Linked DNA regions of Saccharomyces cerevisiae S288C. The gene in region 1 interacts genetically with each later gene. Each region holds a gene or a part of one and is shown in the gene's direction. Other genes may lie near its edges.

Region 1 (4,812 bases):
AAGTAGTAATTCTGGTGCACCTTTTGATTCCTTTTGATTGCCCTGCGTACGGCTGCTGGTCCCACGTTTATATACTTCCGTATATCCCAACAGTTCCCTGAATTCTAAATTTTGTTTTGAACTTTCCAGTAGACTCTTCAAGTGCTTAGCACCAAGGTAAGCTTTGATATTAACATAAGCTCTATAAGATAGGTAGAACCCTGGAACATTTGGTATAAGCGGTATTAAAATTAGAGGAATTGTCAGCGGGAGACCTAAAAGGCAATATAAAGTCCATTTTTTGTGATAAATTAAGCCTTCTTGGTAGAGCTTTTTCATTTGTCTCAAGCACTCATCAGGGCTAGAAATTCCAGGGGGATAATACACGTGTAAGGGTTGAGTATCGACCTGTTCTGCCTTTACGGTATAATCTTTCAATGTGAGTCGAATCTCTTGGGTCTTATCTTTCTCTCCCTTAATTCTCTTCAATATATAGCTTTCACTTGGTATGGTTAACAGACTATTTTCTGACCAGGGTGTGCTATTTAACAGAGACTGCACCATGGACACTATTTTTTTATTATACGATTTAGGGGACTTTTTCAGTTTTCTCCAAAGCTTTGCTGATTTCTCAACGATCCACTTTTCTGCTTTTAATATTCTAGACTGACTATTAAAGAGATTATCGGTATGCTTATAGTAAATGAATGATTCTTTGTCCGTTATTGGTATCACAGTCACTTTAACAGGATCATGCAGATATTTTTGGAGTGAAGCCTTTTCAAGTTTTGTTGAATACGCCCTCATTCCGTAGAACAGTCGAGAAGTGGCAGTTATACTAGTTGGCGGTATAAATATTGAACGTATCATCTTTAATCTAAAATACACCGGATGAAGTTTTGGTATTGTGATAAAATGATTCTATCGATGAAGAGCAATGATATGGATACTGCTACGTTGAAAAGGAAAAATTTCATGGCTAACTAGTAACTGAAACTGTGCCAGATAGCACACCCTTTAGATACTATCTTGGCACAATGCCCGATGCTTACTCCCCGGCGGAGACAGCCGTCAAGTCCATCCATCCAAAAGTGGAGGAAAAACAAGAAAATAAAGCTATCGAACAAGGAGCGTTGAAGTAAGAAAAACAAACGAAGAACTGAATAAACACAGCCTGCTTCAAATTATGGAAGGAGCTGTTACACATGGTAATTTTCTTATTTTTTTTGATAGATGGTGGAAAGTGGTAGCGTGGAAGTTGCGGATTATCACGACGTTTTATGGGCTCTAAATCGGTATAAGCTCAACAAATGGTTGAGGGCCGAATAAACGAAAAATTATTAGACCATAATTGCTACCAGCTGAAAGATTATCTCATTATAATACGCTTGAAACCCTCTAAAATGTCATTCGTAGTTAAGTACACTTTTTTGATCTCTCCAAGGTTAGCCGCCCATATAAAAAACTCTAGGAACCAAATTTGGTATACTGCGTGCGCTTGAGATTCAGTTTTTGTGTAAATCGGTTGCTGCAAACTATTTATATTAATGTTACATCGATGCAAGATTTTAGCCATGTTCCTAGTTTCTTGTCTATGAGCGTTTACTCAACCGAGACTCTTGTTTGCTATTATCTCGATTCGACGAACAAACAGTTCCCTGGGTATTCGAACAAAGCACAGTTGGTGATTTTGTTTGAAACTACAGACGTGCTCTCTTTTACAAAATAAATTGTAGGAAGTGATCCGCACAGGCAGAGGGAATTACAGATCACGCTCCTCTCTTATGACTAATGCACTCAGCATTTTCTCTTCCTTATAAACTCCGTCCACAGTACCCGATCAGCTGGCTCATCGTTATTCTAAATTAACTGATGACTGATGTTACGTCTGCGTCAAATTCCGCCGGAATATTGCGTAGTTTTAGTAAGAAAAAAACAAATTCCGACGGGAACTCTCTGCAAGGAAGTTTAAGCGTGGGTTACTTTGCTAGGTTGAGAAAAAGAATTCTTTAGAGGATCACACGTAGTAAAAGAAAAAAAAGATCTCTTCGCGCCACTCCCGGTTTCTCTGTGGATACGGCGTTACTAGCGTTGCAAGTGGCAAAAAAATGAGTAATGTCACAATGGCCTGGCCTTGTCCCACTATCCCTTATTCATGGTTGAAAAATATGACCAAAATTGCTGGGGAATTTTCTCTTCGGTAGTGGACGACGACGACATTAGAGCAATAGGCAATAATTTAATTTGCGCTTTAGGTTCTTGCTGACGATGATGCGTGAGTAATATTATTACCAAGTTTTAAGGGCCTCATCGCTGGCCATTTTTTACACCTGCTTAAATACCCGATGATGATATATATAAATGATATTGGCTGCTTATCGATAAAGTGTATTTGATATGTTCCCGTTTAGTTTATTCTTGTTTCTTATCTACATAACAAACAAAGGAAGGACCCTGTATTGTTTTCCTAAAGATGACTGCTGCTAAACCAAATCCATATGCTGCCAAACCGGGCGACTATCTTTCTAATGTAAATAATTTCCAGTTAATCGATTCGACGCTGAGAGAAGGTGAACAATTTGCCAACGCATTCTTCGATACTGAAAAAAAGATCGAAATTGCTAGAGCCTTGGACGATTTCGGTGTGGACTACATCGAGTTAACCTCACCAGTAGCATCTGAACAATCAAGAAAGGACTGTGAAGCTATATGTAAACTAGGTTTAAAGGCCAAGATCCTTACACACATTCGTTGTCATATGGATGACGCCAAAGTCGCCGTAGAGACTGGTGTCGACGGTGTCGATGTCGTTATCGGCACCTCCAAATTTTTAAGACAATATTCCCACGGTAAGGATATGAACTACATCGCCAAGAGTGCTGTTGAAGTCATTGAATTTGTCAAATCCAAAGGTATTGAAATCAGATTTTCCTCTGAAGATTCCTTCAGAAGTGATCTCGTTGATCTTTTGAACATTTATAAAACCGTTGACAAGATCGGTGTAAATAGAGTCGGTATTGCCGACACAGTTGGATGTGCCAACCCAAGACAAGTATATGAACTGATCAGAACTTTGAAGAGTGTTGTTTCATGTGACATCGAATGCCATTTCCACAACGATACTGGTTGTGCCATTGCAAACGCCTACACTGCTTTGGAAGGTGGTGCCAGATTGATTGACGTCAGTGTACTGGGTATTGGTGAAAGAAACGGTATCACTCCTCTAGGTGGGCTCATGGCAAGAATGATTGTTGCCGCACCAGACTATGTCAAGTCCAAATACAAGTTGCACAAGATCAGAGACATTGAAAACCTGGTCGCTGATGCTGTGGAAGTTAACATTCCATTCAACAACCCTATCACCGGGTTCTGTGCATTCACACATAAAGCAGGTATCCATGCCAAGGCCATTTTGGCTAACCCATCTACCTACGAAATCTTGGACCCTCACGATTTCGGTATGAAGAGGTATATCCACTTCGCCAACAGACTAACTGGCTGGAACGCCATCAAAGCCAGAGTCGACCAGTTGAACTTGAACTTGACGGATGACCAAATCAAGGAAGTTACTGCTAAGATTAAGAAGCTGGGTGATGTCAGATCGCTGAATATCGATGATGTTGACTCTATCATCAAGAACTTCCACGCAGAGGTCAGCACTCCTCAAGTACTATCTGCAAAAAAGAACAAGAAGAATGACAGCGATGTACCGGAACTGGCCACCATCCCCGCCGCCAAGCGGACTAAGCCATCCGCCTAACGTTCCCAAACCATTACATTATGTTCTTTCACTTATTACATACGATATATAGCATCTACATCTACATATCTAAATGATGTTTTTTCCCATCTACTTTGTCCGATACGCATTAAAAGAAGAAGATTTACTCTCCCGTGATGCCGGGCCAATCAGACGCGCGCATTCGCGGCAGAATAAGGGGAGGCTGCTGCGGGTACCAAATATCCAGATATTCACAATTATGCCAATCAACTGTCTAGTTGCTGACACCCATCGTTTTCCACTGCAACGAGGTTTTGGGGCTAGAAAAGGCGTTAACAATCGTTAGAGAAGGAGGGGTTCATAACTTGACTTGTTGTATCTTGTTTAAAACTTTCTTTGAATTTGTTCGTGGTTGAATTTGTTTTTGCTATCCCAAAGGAGTGCATTTTACACGCATTACTACAGCACACTTTTATACAGTTCCACAATAGAATATGTTACCACGTTCAGCATTAGCACGCTCATTGCAATTACAGCGCGGTGTGGCCGCAAGGTTCTACTCTGAAGGTTCTACCGGCACCCCAAGAGGGTCAGGCTCAGAGGATTCGTTTGTTAAAAGGGAAAGGGCCACGGAAGACTTCTTCGTTAGGCAGCGTGAGAAGGAGCAACTACGCCATTTGAAAGAACAACTGGAAAAACAACGAAAGAAGATTGATTCTTTGGAAAATAAAATTGACTCGATGACCAAATAATCATGCGTTTCCGCAGAAGCTTTTTTTTTTTTTTTTTTAGAATATTCTTACTCTTTTATAGTCAAACAGCAGAAAAACTATATAATAATACATCACACTGAGCTTTTGCATTTTCGATAACTATCATTCTAGTTTTCCTCTGGTTTGAATTTTCCTCTTGTCTGTCTGACTAATGTCACTCATTATTTCCACTTCGCGCAAAGTTCGTCCCAATGCGGAAAGGCATAGAAAGATAGGAACAGTGTGGAACATGGAAAAGTTCCAAATAACGTCAATAGTCCATACTTAAGATACGAAATTTCAAAATTCCTTCTTTTTTGTTTCAACAAGCTTAGCCTAACACCAAGAATATACTTAGCA
Region 2 (4,883 bases), on another chromosome or scaffold:
TTTAAGAGCTTTGTATGACCAGTACGGTACCACAGATGAAGTCCTGATTCAAGAGCAGCAGGCGCAGGCGCAACGCCAACAAGCCGGGCCGTTCAGTTCATCCTCAAATTTCGATACGGAAGCAATGTCATTCCCGGATCTATCTCCAGGTGATCTTTTCGCGCAGTTTTTTAATAGTTCTGCTACCCCCTCTTCTAATGGCTCCAAAAGCAGTTTTAATTTTAGCTTCAATAATAGCTCTACGCCGAGCTTCTCCTTTGTTAATGGCAGTGGCGTGAACAATCTGTACTCCTCGTCAGCAAAATACAACTCCAACGATGAGGACCATCATTTGGATAGAGGCCCTGATATCAAACATAATCTAAAGTGCACATTGAAGGAACTCTACATGGGTAAGACTGCAAAGTTGGGTTTGAATAGGACAAGGATTTGCAGTGTTTGTGATGGGCACGGTGGTCTAAAGAAATGCACTTGTAAAACATGCAAAGGGCAAGGTATTCAAACCCAAACTAGGCGTATGGGACCTCTAGTACAAAGTTGGTCTCAAACTTGTGCAGATTGCGGGGGTGCCGGGGTTTTTGTCAAAAATAAAGATATTTGCCAACAGTGCCAAGGTCTTGGCTTCATTAAGGAGAGGAAGATTCTACAAGTCACCGTTCAACCGGGATCGTGTCATAACCAACTTATAGTACTTACGGGCGAAGGTGACGAAGTTATTAGTACTAAGGGAGGCGGTCACGAAAAGGTAATACCTGGTGACGTCGTTATCACCATTTTACGTTTAAAAGATCCGAATTTCCAGGTTATCAACTACTCCAATTTGATATGTAAGAAGTGCAAAATCGACTTCATGACCAGTTTATGTGGAGGCGTAGTTTATATTGAAGGGCACCCTAGCGGTAAGTTGATCAAACTTGATATTATACCTGGCGAGATACTGAAGCCTGGTTGTTTCAAGACTGTTGAGGACATGGGGATGCCCAAGTTTATCAACGGTGTTCGGAGCGGTTTCGGTCATCTATATGTCAAATTCGATGTGACGTATCCAGAGAGACTGGAACCTGAAAATGCTAAGAAAATACAAAATATTCTGGCTAATGATAAATACATTAAAGCAGAACGTTCCACCATGGAAACCGCAGATTCAGACTGCTATTGCGATTTGGAGAAGTCATATGACAGTGTGGAAGAGCATGTGTTAAGTAGCTTTGAGGCCCCTAATTTAAACAATGAAGTTATTGAAGACGACGACCTTGGTGATTTGATTAATGAAAGAGATTCTCGGAAAAGGAACAACCGTCGATTCGACGAAAGTAATATTAATAATAATAATGAAACGAAACGAAATAAATATTCTTCACCGGTAAGCGGTTTTTATGACCATGATATTAATGGATATTGAAGGTTATATAGTCATGCAGTAATGTTATACATTTTCTATTTTTATTTTTTGTATCAGTACTCTATCTATAAGGACATTCCTTTTTTTAAGCAATGCGGAAAGATACGCTATTCTTCCTGTGGATGGTTTACCGCGGTTTGGGTGGTAATATCATTGCAGCCCTAGTCCTTTAGCAGTTTTTTTAGCGTGTAATACATTGTTATTCATCTTTTTCTTAGTGCCTGCCAAGAGATCGTGGGAGGTTACTTAACAGAAAAGCAAAAAAAAAAACCGATTAGAATGTGCATGCCGTTGTTACAGAGAAGCAAGGGAAGTTCACCACTGATCATATTTCTAAGTTCATCAAAATATCGTTTTGGTTTCAGCAGTAGGGATCTTTAACCCAAGTGTTCATTTTCTTTCCTTTTTGCTTTTTATTTGAATGATCTGAACAAAAGGAGAAACATATACTGTACTATTGCGTGAAAACGAACAGAGCACAACCCTCAAGAAAAAAGAGAACTACCCCTTAGTTCCATCTCATTTACTTAAGCAACACTTCCTAATTATTCTCTAATCCTAATAAAAAAAAAGAACTGATGTCGCGGGAGGCATTTGATGTACCGAATATAGGTACTAACAAGTTTTTAAAAGTCACACCTAATTTATTTACCCCAGAGCGATTGAATTTATTTGATGATGTCGAACTATATCTTACGTTAATAAAAGCATCCAAATGTGTCGAGCAGGGAGAAAGGCTGCACAATATAAGTTGGAGAATTCTGAATAAAGCTGTTCTAAAGGAGCATAATATTAATCGATCTAAAAAAAGAGACGGCGTGAAGAACATATATTATGTGTTAAATCCAAACAACAAACAGCCAATAAAGCCAAAGCAGGCAGCAGTAAAGCAGCCACCATTACAAAAGGCCAATTTGCCTCCCACAACGGCAAAACAGAACGTTTTAACTCGGCCAATGACATCACCAGCTATCGCACAGGGTGCTCACGATAGATCCTTGGATAATCCTAATTCTACAAACAATGATGTGAAAAATGACGTTGCTCCAAACAGACAATTCTCCAAATCTACTACGTCAGGGTTGTTTTCAAATTTTGCAGACAAATATCAAAAAATGAAAAATGTGAACCATGTTGCTAATAAGGAAGAACCACAAACTATTATCACTGGTTTTGATACAAGCACTGTTATAACCAAGAAACCTTTACAATCAAGACGCTCAAGATCACCTTTCCAGCATATAGGAGACATGAACATGAACTGCATTGATAATGAGACTTCCAAGAGTACCAGTCCTACTCTTGAAAATATGGGAAGTAGAAAATCCTCTTTTCCTCAGAAGGAATCTTTATTCGGAAGGCCAAGGTCTTACAAGAATGACCAAAATGGTCAACTGTCACTTTCGAAAACATCCTCTAGAAAAGGAAAAAACAAGATATTTTTCAGCAGTGAAGATGAAGATTCCGATTGGGACAGCGTTTCGAATGATTCAGAATTCTACGCTGATGAAGATGATGAAGAGTACGATGATTATAATGAGGAAGAAGCAGATCAGTACTATAGAAGACAATGGGACAAGCTTTTATTTGCCAAAAATCAACAGAATCTTGACTCAACGAAATCATCTGTTTCATCAGCGAACACAATCAACTCAAACACATCCCATGATCCCGTACGAAAAAGTTTACTCAGTGGACTATTCCTTAGTGAGGCAAATAGCAACAGTAATAACCACAATACTGCACATAGTGAATACGCTTCTAAACACGTTTCGCCGACTCCTCAGTCCTCTCATAGTAATATCGGTCCTCAACCGCAGCAAAATCCACCGAGCGCTAATGGTATAAAACAACAAAAACCTTCTTTGAAAACAAGCAACGTGACAGCTCTAGCATCGCTATCTCCCCCGCAACCATCCAACAATGAGCGGTTATCGATGGATATACAAAAGGACTTCAAAACTGATAATGAGTCCAATCATTTATATGAATCTAATGCTCCGCTAACTGCTCAAACTATACTGCCCACCGCCTTATCTACTCACATGTTTTTGCCAAATAACATTCACCAACAACGAATGGCGATTGCCACTGGTAGTAATACGCGACATCGTTTTTCGAGGCGGCAGTCGATGGATATCCCATCCAAGAACAGGAATACTGGGTTTTTGAAGACCAGAATGGAGATCTCTGAGGAAGAAAAGATGGTACGTACAATATCACGGCTTGACAATACGAGTATTGCAAACAGTAATGGAAATGGTAATGATGACACCTCTAATCAGAGAACGGAAGCACTGGGGCGTAAGACGAGTAATGGAGGGCGAATATGATTACTAAGTTAAATAAATCAGATACAGTATTTAAAGTTCTTTCAAAAAAAGATAATGTCATATATTTTACTATCTACGCAGTGAAAGAGTTCCTTCTAATGACACACTATTCACTTCGGGTAACGGATATTGTGTACTGAAAAATATAAAAAATTTTATCCCGGAAATGCGATGAGATGAAAATGCATGAAGTAGCGTATATATTGATTGCATGAGGTTGGACTTGAAAGGGCATATATACTCGGTTTTATCATTGATTCAAGTGTTCCCATAAATAATAAAACAGTTAAATCGAAATGCTAAGAAGACAAGCCCGTGAAAGGAGAGAATATCTATACAGAAAAGCGCAAGAATTACAAGATTCTCAACTGCAACAAAAACGTCAAATAATTAAACAAGCGCTAGCTCAGGGGAAGCCATTGCCAAAGGAACTAGCAGAAGATGAGAGTTTACAAAAGGATTTCAGATATGACCAAAGTTTAAAGGAGAGCGAAGAAGCAGATGATCTACAGGTTGATGATGAATATGCTGCCACAAGTGGTATAATGGATCCAAGAATCATCGTCACAACATCTCGTGACCCAAGCACTCGTCTCTCGCAATTTGCCAAAGAAATTAAACTGCTATTTCCAAATGCTGTCAGGCTGAACAGAGGTAATTATGTGATGCCAAATCTAGTGGATGCTTGTAAAAAATCCGGTACTACAGATTTGGTGGTATTACATGAACATAGAGGTGTTCCAACTTCTTTGACCATATCACATTTTCCACATGGACCCACTGCACAGTTTAGTTTACACAATGTTGTTATGAGACATGATATTATAAATGCTGGTAACCAAAGCGAAGTGAATCCACATCTAATATTTGATAACTTTACTACCGCTTTAGGGAAAAGAGTAGTCTGTATTTTAAAGCACTTGTTCAATGCGGGGCCCAAAAAAGATTCCGAAAGAGTAATCACTTTTGCGAATAGGGGTGATTTCATTAGCGTTAGACAGCATGTATATGTGAGAACAAGAGAGGGAGTAGAGATTGCCGAAGTTGGTCCTAGATTTGAGATGAGGTTGTTTGAACTGAGGTTGGGAACTTTAGAAAATAAGGACGCTGATGTTGAGTGGCAGTTGAGAAGATTCATAAGGACTGCC
Region 3 (4,757 bases), on another chromosome or scaffold:
AATGTCCCGGAGTTTAGAGAGGTCTGGTCTACAGGGTATGAGAAAGTGAACCCCAGTTTCATGGGCTTGGCGTCTTTACCCTTGGCCAACTCGTCCGGGTGATACTTCTTCATAAAGGCCAGTGTACGACGTGCTAGAAACCCAAACAGGTCGTCAGATGTGACGTTCTCATCGTCTAGCAAATCATCGGGAATCTTGGACTTCATTTGCTCCATGGAGAAAGTATGATCTCCATGCAAGTTAACAGAACATATACGGAAATTGGTACCACCCAGGTCGGCGGCTAGTAAAACACCGCGCTCCGTCCCGTTGGGTGACCCGGTGACGAACGCCGGAATCATAGGAAGACCTTTGTCCGAGGCCAATGTGTGGCCTTCCTTTGGTGGAGCTAGACCTTTTTCCATTTGTTCGATGAAGTAAGCAGTTAATTCGTCCAGCTTCTCGGGGGTAACCTCGAAATCGTCGCAGATCTGGTCCACGGCCTGGATGACCGCTCTCTCAGTGGCTTTGTGTAAGTCGTCGAATGACATCTTGTGTATGATAGAGTTGTATTAGTGGTGGTGTTGTGGTTTACGGAAGCTGAGTTGGGCACTGATGGGGGGGTTGGGGGTTCTGTTGATAGCGGATATTTATATGGGCGCGTTTTCATTAGTGCCCACCGTTTGAGCGTGGTGTGACACCACGCCCAAGATAGGGGGCCCCCTGAAAGGGGTTGACCGTCCGTCGGCACACCACTTATAATGCGGGGTGCAAGCGCCGCGTCTAAAATTTTTTTTTTTTCCATTTTTGTCGTTATTGTTATTTCCCGTTTTTTGTTTTTTTTGATTTTTTCGGAGCGACAAACCTTTCGAAACACGTGTCCTGAAAATTATCCTGGGCTGCACGTGATAATATGTTACCCTGTCGGGCGGCGCCTCTTTTTCCCTTTTCTCTCACTAGTCTCTTTTTCCAATTTGCCACCGTGTAGCATTTTGTTGTGCTGTTACAACCACAACAAAACGAAAAACCCGTATGGACATACATATATATATATATATATATATATATTTTGTTACGCGTGCATTTTCTTGTTGCAAGCAGCATGTCTAATTGGTAATTTTAAAGCTGCCAAGCTCTACATAAAGAAAAACATACATCTATCCCGTTATGAAGTTTTCTGCTGGTGCCGTCCTGTCATGGTCCTCCCTGCTGCTCGCCTCCTCTGTTTTCGCCCAACAAGAGGCTGTGGCCCCTGAAGACTCCGCTGTCGTTAAGTTGGCCACCGACTCCTTCAATGAGTACATTCAGTCGCACGACTTGGTGCTTGCGGAGTTTTTTGCTCCATGGTGTGGCCACTGTAAGAACATGGCTCCTGAATACGTTAAAGCCGCCGAGACTTTAGTTGAGAAAAACATTACCTTGGCCCAGATCGACTGTACTGAAAACCAGGATCTGTGTATGGAACACAACATTCCAGGGTTCCCAAGCTTGAAGATTTTCAAAAACAGCGATGTTAACAACTCGATCGATTACGAGGGACCTAGAACTGCCGAGGCCATTGTCCAATTCATGATCAAGCAAAGCCAACCGGCTGTCGCCGTTGTTGCTGATCTACCAGCTTACCTTGCTAACGAGACTTTTGTCACTCCAGTTATCGTCCAATCCGGTAAGATTGACGCCGACTTCAACGCCACCTTTTACTCCATGGCCAACAAACACTTCAACGACTACGACTTTGTCTCCGCTGAAAACGCAGACGATGATTTCAAGCTTTCTATTTACTTGCCCTCCGCCATGGACGAGCCTGTAGTATACAACGGTAAGAAAGCCGATATCGCTGACGCTGATGTTTTTGAAAAATGGTTGCAAGTGGAAGCCTTGCCCTACTTTGGTGAAATCGACGGTTCCGTTTTCGCCCAATACGTCGAAAGCGGTTTGCCTTTGGGTTACTTATTCTACAATGACGAGGAAGAATTGGAAGAATACAAGCCTCTCTTTACCGAGTTGGCCAAAAAGAACAGAGGTCTAATGAACTTTGTTAGCATCGATGCCAGAAAATTCGGCAGACACGCCGGCAACTTGAACATGAAGGAACAATTCCCTCTATTTGCCATCCACGACATGACTGAAGACTTGAAGTACGGTTTGCCTCAACTCTCTGAAGAGGCGTTTGACGAATTGAGCGACAAGATCGTGTTGGAGTCTAAGGCTATTGAATCTTTGGTTAAGGACTTCTTGAAAGGTGATGCCTCCCCAATCGTGAAGTCCCAAGAGATCTTCGAGAACCAAGATTCCTCTGTCTTCCAATTGGTCGGTAAGAACCATGACGAAATCGTCAACGACCCAAAGAAGGACGTTCTTGTTTTGTACTATGCCCCATGGTGTGGTCACTGTAAGAGATTGGCCCCAACTTACCAAGAACTAGCTGATACCTACGCCAACGCCACATCCGACGTTTTGATTGCTAAACTAGACCACACTGAAAACGATGTCAGAGGCGTCGTAATTGAAGGTTACCCAACAATCGTCTTATACCCAGGTGGTAAGAAGTCCGAATCTGTTGTGTACCAAGGTTCAAGATCCTTGGACTCTTTATTCGACTTCATCAAGGAAAACGGTCACTTCGACGTCGACGGTAAGGCCTTGTACGAAGAAGCCCAGGAAAAAGCTGCTGAGGAAGCCGATGCTGACGCTGAATTGGCTGACGAAGAAGATGCCATTCACGATGAATTGTAATTCTGATCACTTTGGTTTTTCATTAAATAGAGATATATAAGAAATTTTCTAGGAAGTTTTTTTAAAAAAATCATAAAAAGATAAACGTTAAAATTCAAACACAATAGTTGTTCGCTATATTCGTCACACTGCACGAACGCCTTAGGGAAAGAGAAAATTGACCACGTAGTAATAATAAGTGCATGGCATCGTCTTTTACTTAAATGTGGACACTTGCTTTACTGCTTAGGAAACTACTTATCTCATCCTCCTCCATTCCCTCTCCTTTTCCAATTACCGTAATAAAAGATGGCTGTATTTACTCCTCCATCAGGTAATAGCAATTCCACCGACCATACTCACACACAAGATGACCACGACAAAGATGATAATGATATCAAGAAATTCTACATAAGGCCAAGTTTAGGCTTAAAACTGTGGGGTCCGCTCGTACCCGCTCCTGATAACCTACCGGGACTATACACTCTAATCACTATCCAATCTGCAGTGGGTTTCTTTGCCCTTTGGAGACTGAGAAGGCTCTACAAACTACCGCCACCGCGCCGCATTGCCACTGGCACTCACTCGGATTTATCCTTTGGCGAACTACCCAGTGAAATGATTGTCAATGGCAAGACTAAAATCAAAAAGGATATTGCTGACTTTCCAACTTTGAACCGCTTCTCCACCACCCATGGTGACATTGTGCTCGCCCCTCCTCCCATCATACCTCGCCAATCTCGATTCGTCAGCGTCAGAAAGCTCTTATGGGGGTTGTTTGGCTCTTTGCTACTTTCTCAGTCACTGTTGGAGCTTACTCGCCTGAACTTTCTTAAATACGACCCCTGGTGCGACGAAATGAAATCCGTACGTGACAAGAAGTTTTTCAACAATATTGTCAAATATTATCACGAGGGCATAGACCCCACCAAAATAAAAGTCAAGGATGCTATGAACGGTACTCCTCTCTCGACAAATATCCCTGAGGTCAAACAAAGCGTCGCTCTCGCTAGAGCGCAAGTTGAGGCGCAGAATCCCATTATTAAATGGTTCGGACCCTTGGAATACAAGCCCATGTCTTTCAACGAGTACCTCAATCGCATGGAATTTCACTTGGACATGTTCGAGTTTTTTCAAAATAAAAGAAACATTAGAGAAAATTCCATTGAACTCATCAATTCCATATCCCACAATCCGCAGTCTTCTTCTACTGGCCTTGAAGGTCTTTCCGAGTCCAAAAAACTCCATCTACAAAATGTGGAAAAAAGACTGCATTTCTTAGCATCTTCGGGAGATTCCATTTCCGCACCAGTAAAGAAGAGATCCAGCACCACACTCTCCCGAGGTGTCATTTTGCCCCATGACACGAAAGGCCCGCAAGATATTGATCTCGATACAATAAGATCGCTTTATGATCCATGGATGACTTTGGCCTTAGAAACTTCGCTAAGCATCAAATTCATACCAACTACCATGCCCTCCCATACCAAGACACCCACTAGCACGGACCAGCCGTTACCAGGGCCTACCCCCAAGGCTCTCACTAATGAAAAGACACATTAGGTCTTTGCGGATTGCTTAGTTGTACCGTGCGTATATTAAATCCTTCTTCGTACACCGTGATTTTTCAGACGGCTACCAGAGAAAATATGGCTGGGATTTCATATTATATATGCAAATATATAATAACATATATATATATACACTCCATTAATAACTAATACCTACATTCATATCAACACTTTCATCCTCCCCTTCCCCCATAGCAATGAAGATAACGTGTACAGACTTGGTGTACGTCTTCATTTTACTCTTCCTAAACACGAGTTGTGTCCAAGCCGTTTTTTCAGATGATGCATTTATCACTGATTGGCAACTGGCTAACTTAGGTCCTTGGGAGAAAGTCATCCCTGATTCTCGAGACCGCAACAGGGTTCTCATCTTATCGAACCCTACCGAAACTTCCTGCTTAGTTTCTTCGTTTAACGTTTCTTCCGGACAGATTCTTTTCAGAAACGTTTTACCCTTTACCATTGATGAGATTCAACTGGATAGTAATGACC
Region 4 (4,702 bases), on another chromosome or scaffold:
CACAAATGGTTTTCGACCATTGGTCCACTTTAGGTTCTGACCCATTGGACCCAACCTCTAAGGCTGGTGAAATTGTTCTTGCTGCTCGTAAGAGACACGGTATGAAGGAAGAAGTTCCAGGCTGGCAAGAATATTACGACAAATTGTAAGAAGTCTAAATGAGAAAAGGTGGTTCTGTAAGAGCAAACCTTACCGCCTTATGATCTTTTTCATTTATTCTCTGCTTTAAAATTTTGTCGTAATAAAAATAGTATGGTAATAGACTTATATATTATTTTCTTACACATTTTTGTCATATAGTTATATTCCGAATGTTTACAATCGAACCCATCATAAAAATGGACCTTTTCGTATTACCGCCCCCTTTGTAGAGGGGGAGGAACGGCAACTTCTTGACTATTACGACGTATCACCACCCCGTTAGATATACTATGGAAAAAACTATTAAAAACCATTATAATTCATTAATGACATCGGTCCTGAGGTAGTATTACGTATAACTTACCTGGCTCTTGGTCATAGCTTTTTATCCGTTTACGAAAAAAGGAGAAGAAGATTGGGCTTCCGCGGCTATTGTTTGGTTTATACCCCGCCGTATGTTGGTGCTTCTATAATTAGAGCGAAATAGGAAATACAAAAAATCCTTGGAGGGGAGGACCAGCCTCATCGGGCTAAAACTCCCTCAAAACCGGAGGGGCAACCAAAGTATATATCTCATTATGGCCGATACTTCTAGAGGCGCACTAACAGAAGCACCTCAGCCCCTGCAGGTGAAAGAAAGAGGTAATTAATTTTCCGGTTACTTACTTTCTCTCGCTATTGGGGAAAGCGTTGGTTCGAGGCGTTGAGGTCGAAGACAATCATTGTTTTCTTCTTATTTAAGTACATCTTTAGAAGAAAATTACACAACTGGAATGAGTAAATCAATACTTGCTTTGTGTTCCCATTGTTAGATACTCTTGTTTTAGCATGTGATAGCAGTATATAATATAACCTGCAAAATAATCGAAACGCGTACACAGGAAAGAGTACATAAATAACCATAGTATATTTCTGGACATATCTTATTACACAACATAAAATAGAATGTTTAACATGAATCTACTTTCTACACCTTCTTCTGAAGAGGGTTCTCCACAGAATAGGTCATCTTCAATGTCTTCTGTTGAGGGCAAGAAGGATAGGGACACCTTTACTAATTTGCAAAACGAATTTGATGGTAAAGTATTTGGCGTCTCACTCGAGGAATCACTGAAAGTTGCTCAAGAGGAAGTAATTATCCAAAAAAGTACAAATGAAATTGGTTCCATACCGGTGGTAATAGCAAAAAGTGGGAAATACCTAAAAGAGAATGCATTAGACACAACAGGAATTTTCCGTATTGCGGGAAGCAATAAACGTGTTAGAGAGCTACAAGCTGTTTTCTCTAAACCGCCCGATTATGGTCGTAAATTTGAAGGATGGTGTGATTTCAATGTTCATGACATTGCAACTTTATTAAAAAGATATTTGAACTCATTAAGTGAGCCTTTGGTTCCCCTAGCATTATACGACATTTTTAGAAATCCAATATTAGAAAACCCAAAAATAAATGAGCACAAAGAACAAATCATTAAGGACTACGAAGATATTTATATGCTCTTACCACAACAAAATCGCCATTTAATACTTTATTTAGCCGCGCTCTTGAATTTATTTGCAAGAAATGAAAAGAAGAATTTAATGTCAGCAAGCAATTTAGCGGCCATCGTACAACCCTCACTTTTGTCTCATCCCAAGGATGAAATGTGCCCGAAAGAGTATGAGGCTTCCAGAACTGTCATCGAATTCCTCATACTACACGCTTCAGATATAATACCGAATACGGAAAAAGCGAATAAGGACACCATGCCGCATGCAGGAACAGTAGCAAAGTTTAACAACATTACCGTTCCTGAAATGGCTATTGACTCCGATGAAGAAGATTTTGTGCACCCTTCAATAGATGACCATATGCTTCCAAGGTCACGTGCACTTTCTGACTCCAACAATTTTACCATACATCATCATCATCATCATCATCATGCACTGTTTCCTAGCCCAATAGATTTTGATAACAATGGGCTTTCTGTACCGAGATCCTTTAAAGGTAGAACATTGAGTGCAGAGTCCCTTTCTCCCAGACTTAGTAAATTACTTGGGAACGTTGGAAACAGCAGCAATACTGGCATCAAAGACCCTACAGAAAGAGTTCCTAGAGGTGAACATAAAACCAAACACAAACAACGACAGTCATGGTTGAGAAGACTCACTAGCCCTTCTAGAACGCAGCCTTAGCTTCCTAAGCACTGTGATCTGCTAGTCGATTCCGAGGTTCGGCGAAGAAATTGTCGTTGCCCCGCCAGGGGCCTTTTGCGATACTCGGCGCTTCTTTCAGCAATCTCGGTCCGCATCTCGGCAAGGGGGGGCATGACACGGGCCGCTCTGGTTGGTCAGTTCCTATTTTCTGTAACTTCCATTGTTTGGTTAAAGAATATATAAGTTATTGAAAAGCTCATAGGTCCCTTATTATAGGCCCTAAGGTTTTAGTTTCTCATCATAGTCATATCAGAAAAACCCTCCTTCTAAAGTTTTCCTCTTTTCTTATTTCTTTTTCATTTATTATTCATATTTATATAAATATATATTCCAAGTGCATGACATTATTGGATACACTTTTTCTGAACCTGAATTACCTTGGTAGATAATAAGATACAGATCGGGAACGAACAACAATTATAATATTTTTTAATAATGTTGAGAAATACTTTTTTTAGAAACACCTCGAGGAGGTTTTTGGCTACTGTAAAGCAACCTTCAATCGGAAGATATACCGGCAAACCTAACCCTTCTACCGGCAAATACACGGTCTCGTTCATTGAAGGTGATGGTATCGGACCTGAAATTTCCAAGTCTGTAAAGAAAATCTTTAGTGCAGCAAACGTCCCCATAGAATGGGAATCTTGTGATGTTAGCCCTATCTTTGTCAACGGATTAACGACCATTCCTGACCCTGCCGTACAATCTATCACAAAAAACCTGGTTGCACTAAAAGGTCCACTAGCTACACCTATTGGTAAAGGTCACAGATCTTTGAATTTGACATTGAGAAAAACATTTGGGTTATTTGCCAACGTTCGTCCCGCAAAGTCTATTGAAGGTTTTAAGACCACTTACGAAAACGTTGATTTAGTTCTTATCAGAGAGAATACCGAAGGTGAATATTCTGGTATCGAACACATAGTTTGCCCTGGCGTTGTTCAATCTATTAAACTGATCACAAGAGATGCCTCTGAGCGAGTCATTAGATACGCTTTTGAATATGCAAGAGCCATCGGCAGACCAAGAGTTATTGTGGTACATAAATCTACTATCCAGAGATTAGCTGATGGTTTATTCGTTAATGTTGCCAAAGAACTATCCAAAGAGTATCCTGACCTTACTTTAGAAACTGAACTTATTGATAACAGTGTGTTAAAGGTGGTCACCAACCCATCTGCTTACACAGACGCTGTTTCTGTTTGTCCAAATCTATACGGTGATATCTTGTCCGACTTGAACTCTGGTTTGAGCGCCGGTTCTTTAGGTTTAACTCCATCTGCCAATATTGGTCATAAAATCTCGATCTTTGAAGCTGTCCATGGCTCTGCCCCTGATATTGCCGGTCAAGATAAAGCGAATCCAACTGCCCTACTTTTATCTTCAGTAATGATGTTAAACCACATGGGTCTAACGAATCATGCTGACCAAATTCAAAATGCAGTATTGTCTACTATCGCATCAGGTCCAGAAAACAGAACAGGTGACTTGGCTGGTACTGCTACTACTTCATCATTCACTGAAGCAGTCATCAAGAGATTATAAAAGTCCTATTCTTTTCCCTCTCAGGTTTTTTCACGCCTTGAAAACAAATGACTATCCGTTTAATATAATGATTTCTGAAAGATTATGAAGTAAAAAAAAGCAAAATGCTTAGATATATAATATATACATACAATAAAAATTCCGTATCTACTCCAAACTTCTATGGCTTTGTCCTCAATGTGTTCTGATGTTTATTTAATAGCCTGAAGTTTTTATTAAGTATGTATACTTTTCGATATTTATTCTTTTAATAATGCTACAGGAGACCATAAGTGATAACTCAAAATGTCCCTCAGTGGACTTGTAAACCAAAAAAAAAAAAAAAGAAAAAGAATTAAATATATTATGTGTAAAAAGAAAACACCACCGTGTGTTATGTATATTTTGTTTATGTCTATCTATCATCTATCCTGCTGGCAGTCAATGTTCACCTTACAAAATTAATCATTGAAATTATTGCTTCCCCTTATAGATGTACTGATAATCGTAAACCTCGTCAACAAGATTGCTATTCCTCTTCCACGAAGTTATTTCGTCCAAAATATCATCCAAGTTAAATAATCTAACGGTTGGATATATACCTTGGATTCTCGGCAAGCCTATACCAGCGGACCCACCGTAACATAACCACATCTCATTTTTTGACTGTAAGCAACAGTCATTATTATGTTCATGTCCGCAACTGACACCCTTTATATTCCAAAGACTCAGGATATCAAGGAAGCTTTTGTAATGTTTGCCATTGATCGTCATTGAAACTTGTCCTCTAGACCTTGGCGTATCTACTGTTAAGGTAGACCTCTCATTATACTGCCCAATA

The links.
Region 2: mutations in LYS20 (region 1) and MKS1 together harm fitness more than expected from each alone (negative genetic interaction), as found in Saccharomyces cerevisiae (2 studies listed by BioGRID).
Region 3: mutations in LYS20 (region 1) and MGR1 together harm fitness more than expected from each alone (negative genetic interaction), as found in Saccharomyces cerevisiae (2 studies listed by BioGRID).
Region 4: mutations in LYS20 (region 1) and IDH2 together harm fitness more than expected from each alone (negative genetic interaction), as found in Saccharomyces cerevisiae (3 studies listed by BioGRID).

Annotation. Positions count from the first base shown.
Region 1 is NC_001136.10:130,985-135,796, forward strand, and holds LYS20 (homocitrate synthase LYS20), read left to right. Parts: upstream 1-2,452; coding exon 2,453-3,739; downstream 3,740-4,812. Other genes in the region: MRX19 (Mrx19p), read right to left, coding at 1-849; INH1 (ATPase inhibitor), read left to right, coding at 4,195-4,452. UniProt on the Saccharomyces cerevisiae protein: Catalyzes the aldol-type condensation of 2-oxoglutarate with acetyl-CoA to yield homocitrate. Carries out the first step of the alpha-aminoadipate (AAA) lysine biosynthesis pathway.
Region 2 is NC_001146.8:481,576-486,458, forward strand, and holds MKS1 (Mks1p), read left to right. Parts: upstream 1-1,980; coding exon 1,981-3,735; downstream 3,736-4,883. Other genes in the region: APJ1 (Apj1p), read left to right, coding at 1-1,402; snoRNA-binding rRNA-processing protein IMP4, read left to right, coding at 4,032-4,883. UniProt on the Saccharomyces cerevisiae protein: Negative regulator of Ras-cAMP pathway. Involved in transcriptional regulation of galactose-inducible genes.
Region 3 is NC_001135.5:46,611-51,367, reverse strand, and holds MGR1 (Mgr1p), read left to right. Parts: upstream 1-3,003; coding exon 3,004-4,257; downstream 4,258-4,757. Other genes in the region: GLK1 (glucokinase), read right to left, coding at 1-530; YCL042W (uncharacterized protein), read right to left, coding at 425-784; protein disulfide isomerase PDI1, read left to right, coding at 1,147-2,715; EMC1 (Emc1p), read left to right, coding at 4,463-4,757. UniProt on the Saccharomyces cerevisiae protein: Component of the mitochondrial inner membrane i-AAA protease supercomplex required for mitochondrial inner membrane protein turnover. Together with MGR3, functions in an adapter complex that targets substrates to the i-AAA protease for degradation.
Region 4 is NC_001147.6:577,478-582,179, forward strand, and holds IDH2 (isocitrate dehydrogenase (NAD(+)) IDH2), read left to right. Parts: upstream 1-2,772; coding exon 2,773-3,882; downstream 3,883-4,702. Other genes in the region: EFT1 (elongation factor 2), read left to right, coding at 1-149; GTPase-activating protein BAG7, read left to right, coding at 1,087-2,316; SIA1 (Sia1p), read right to left, coding at 4,336-4,702. UniProt on the Saccharomyces cerevisiae protein: Performs an essential role in the oxidative function of the citric acid cycle. Also binds RNA; specifically to the 5'-untranslated leaders of mitochondrial mRNAs.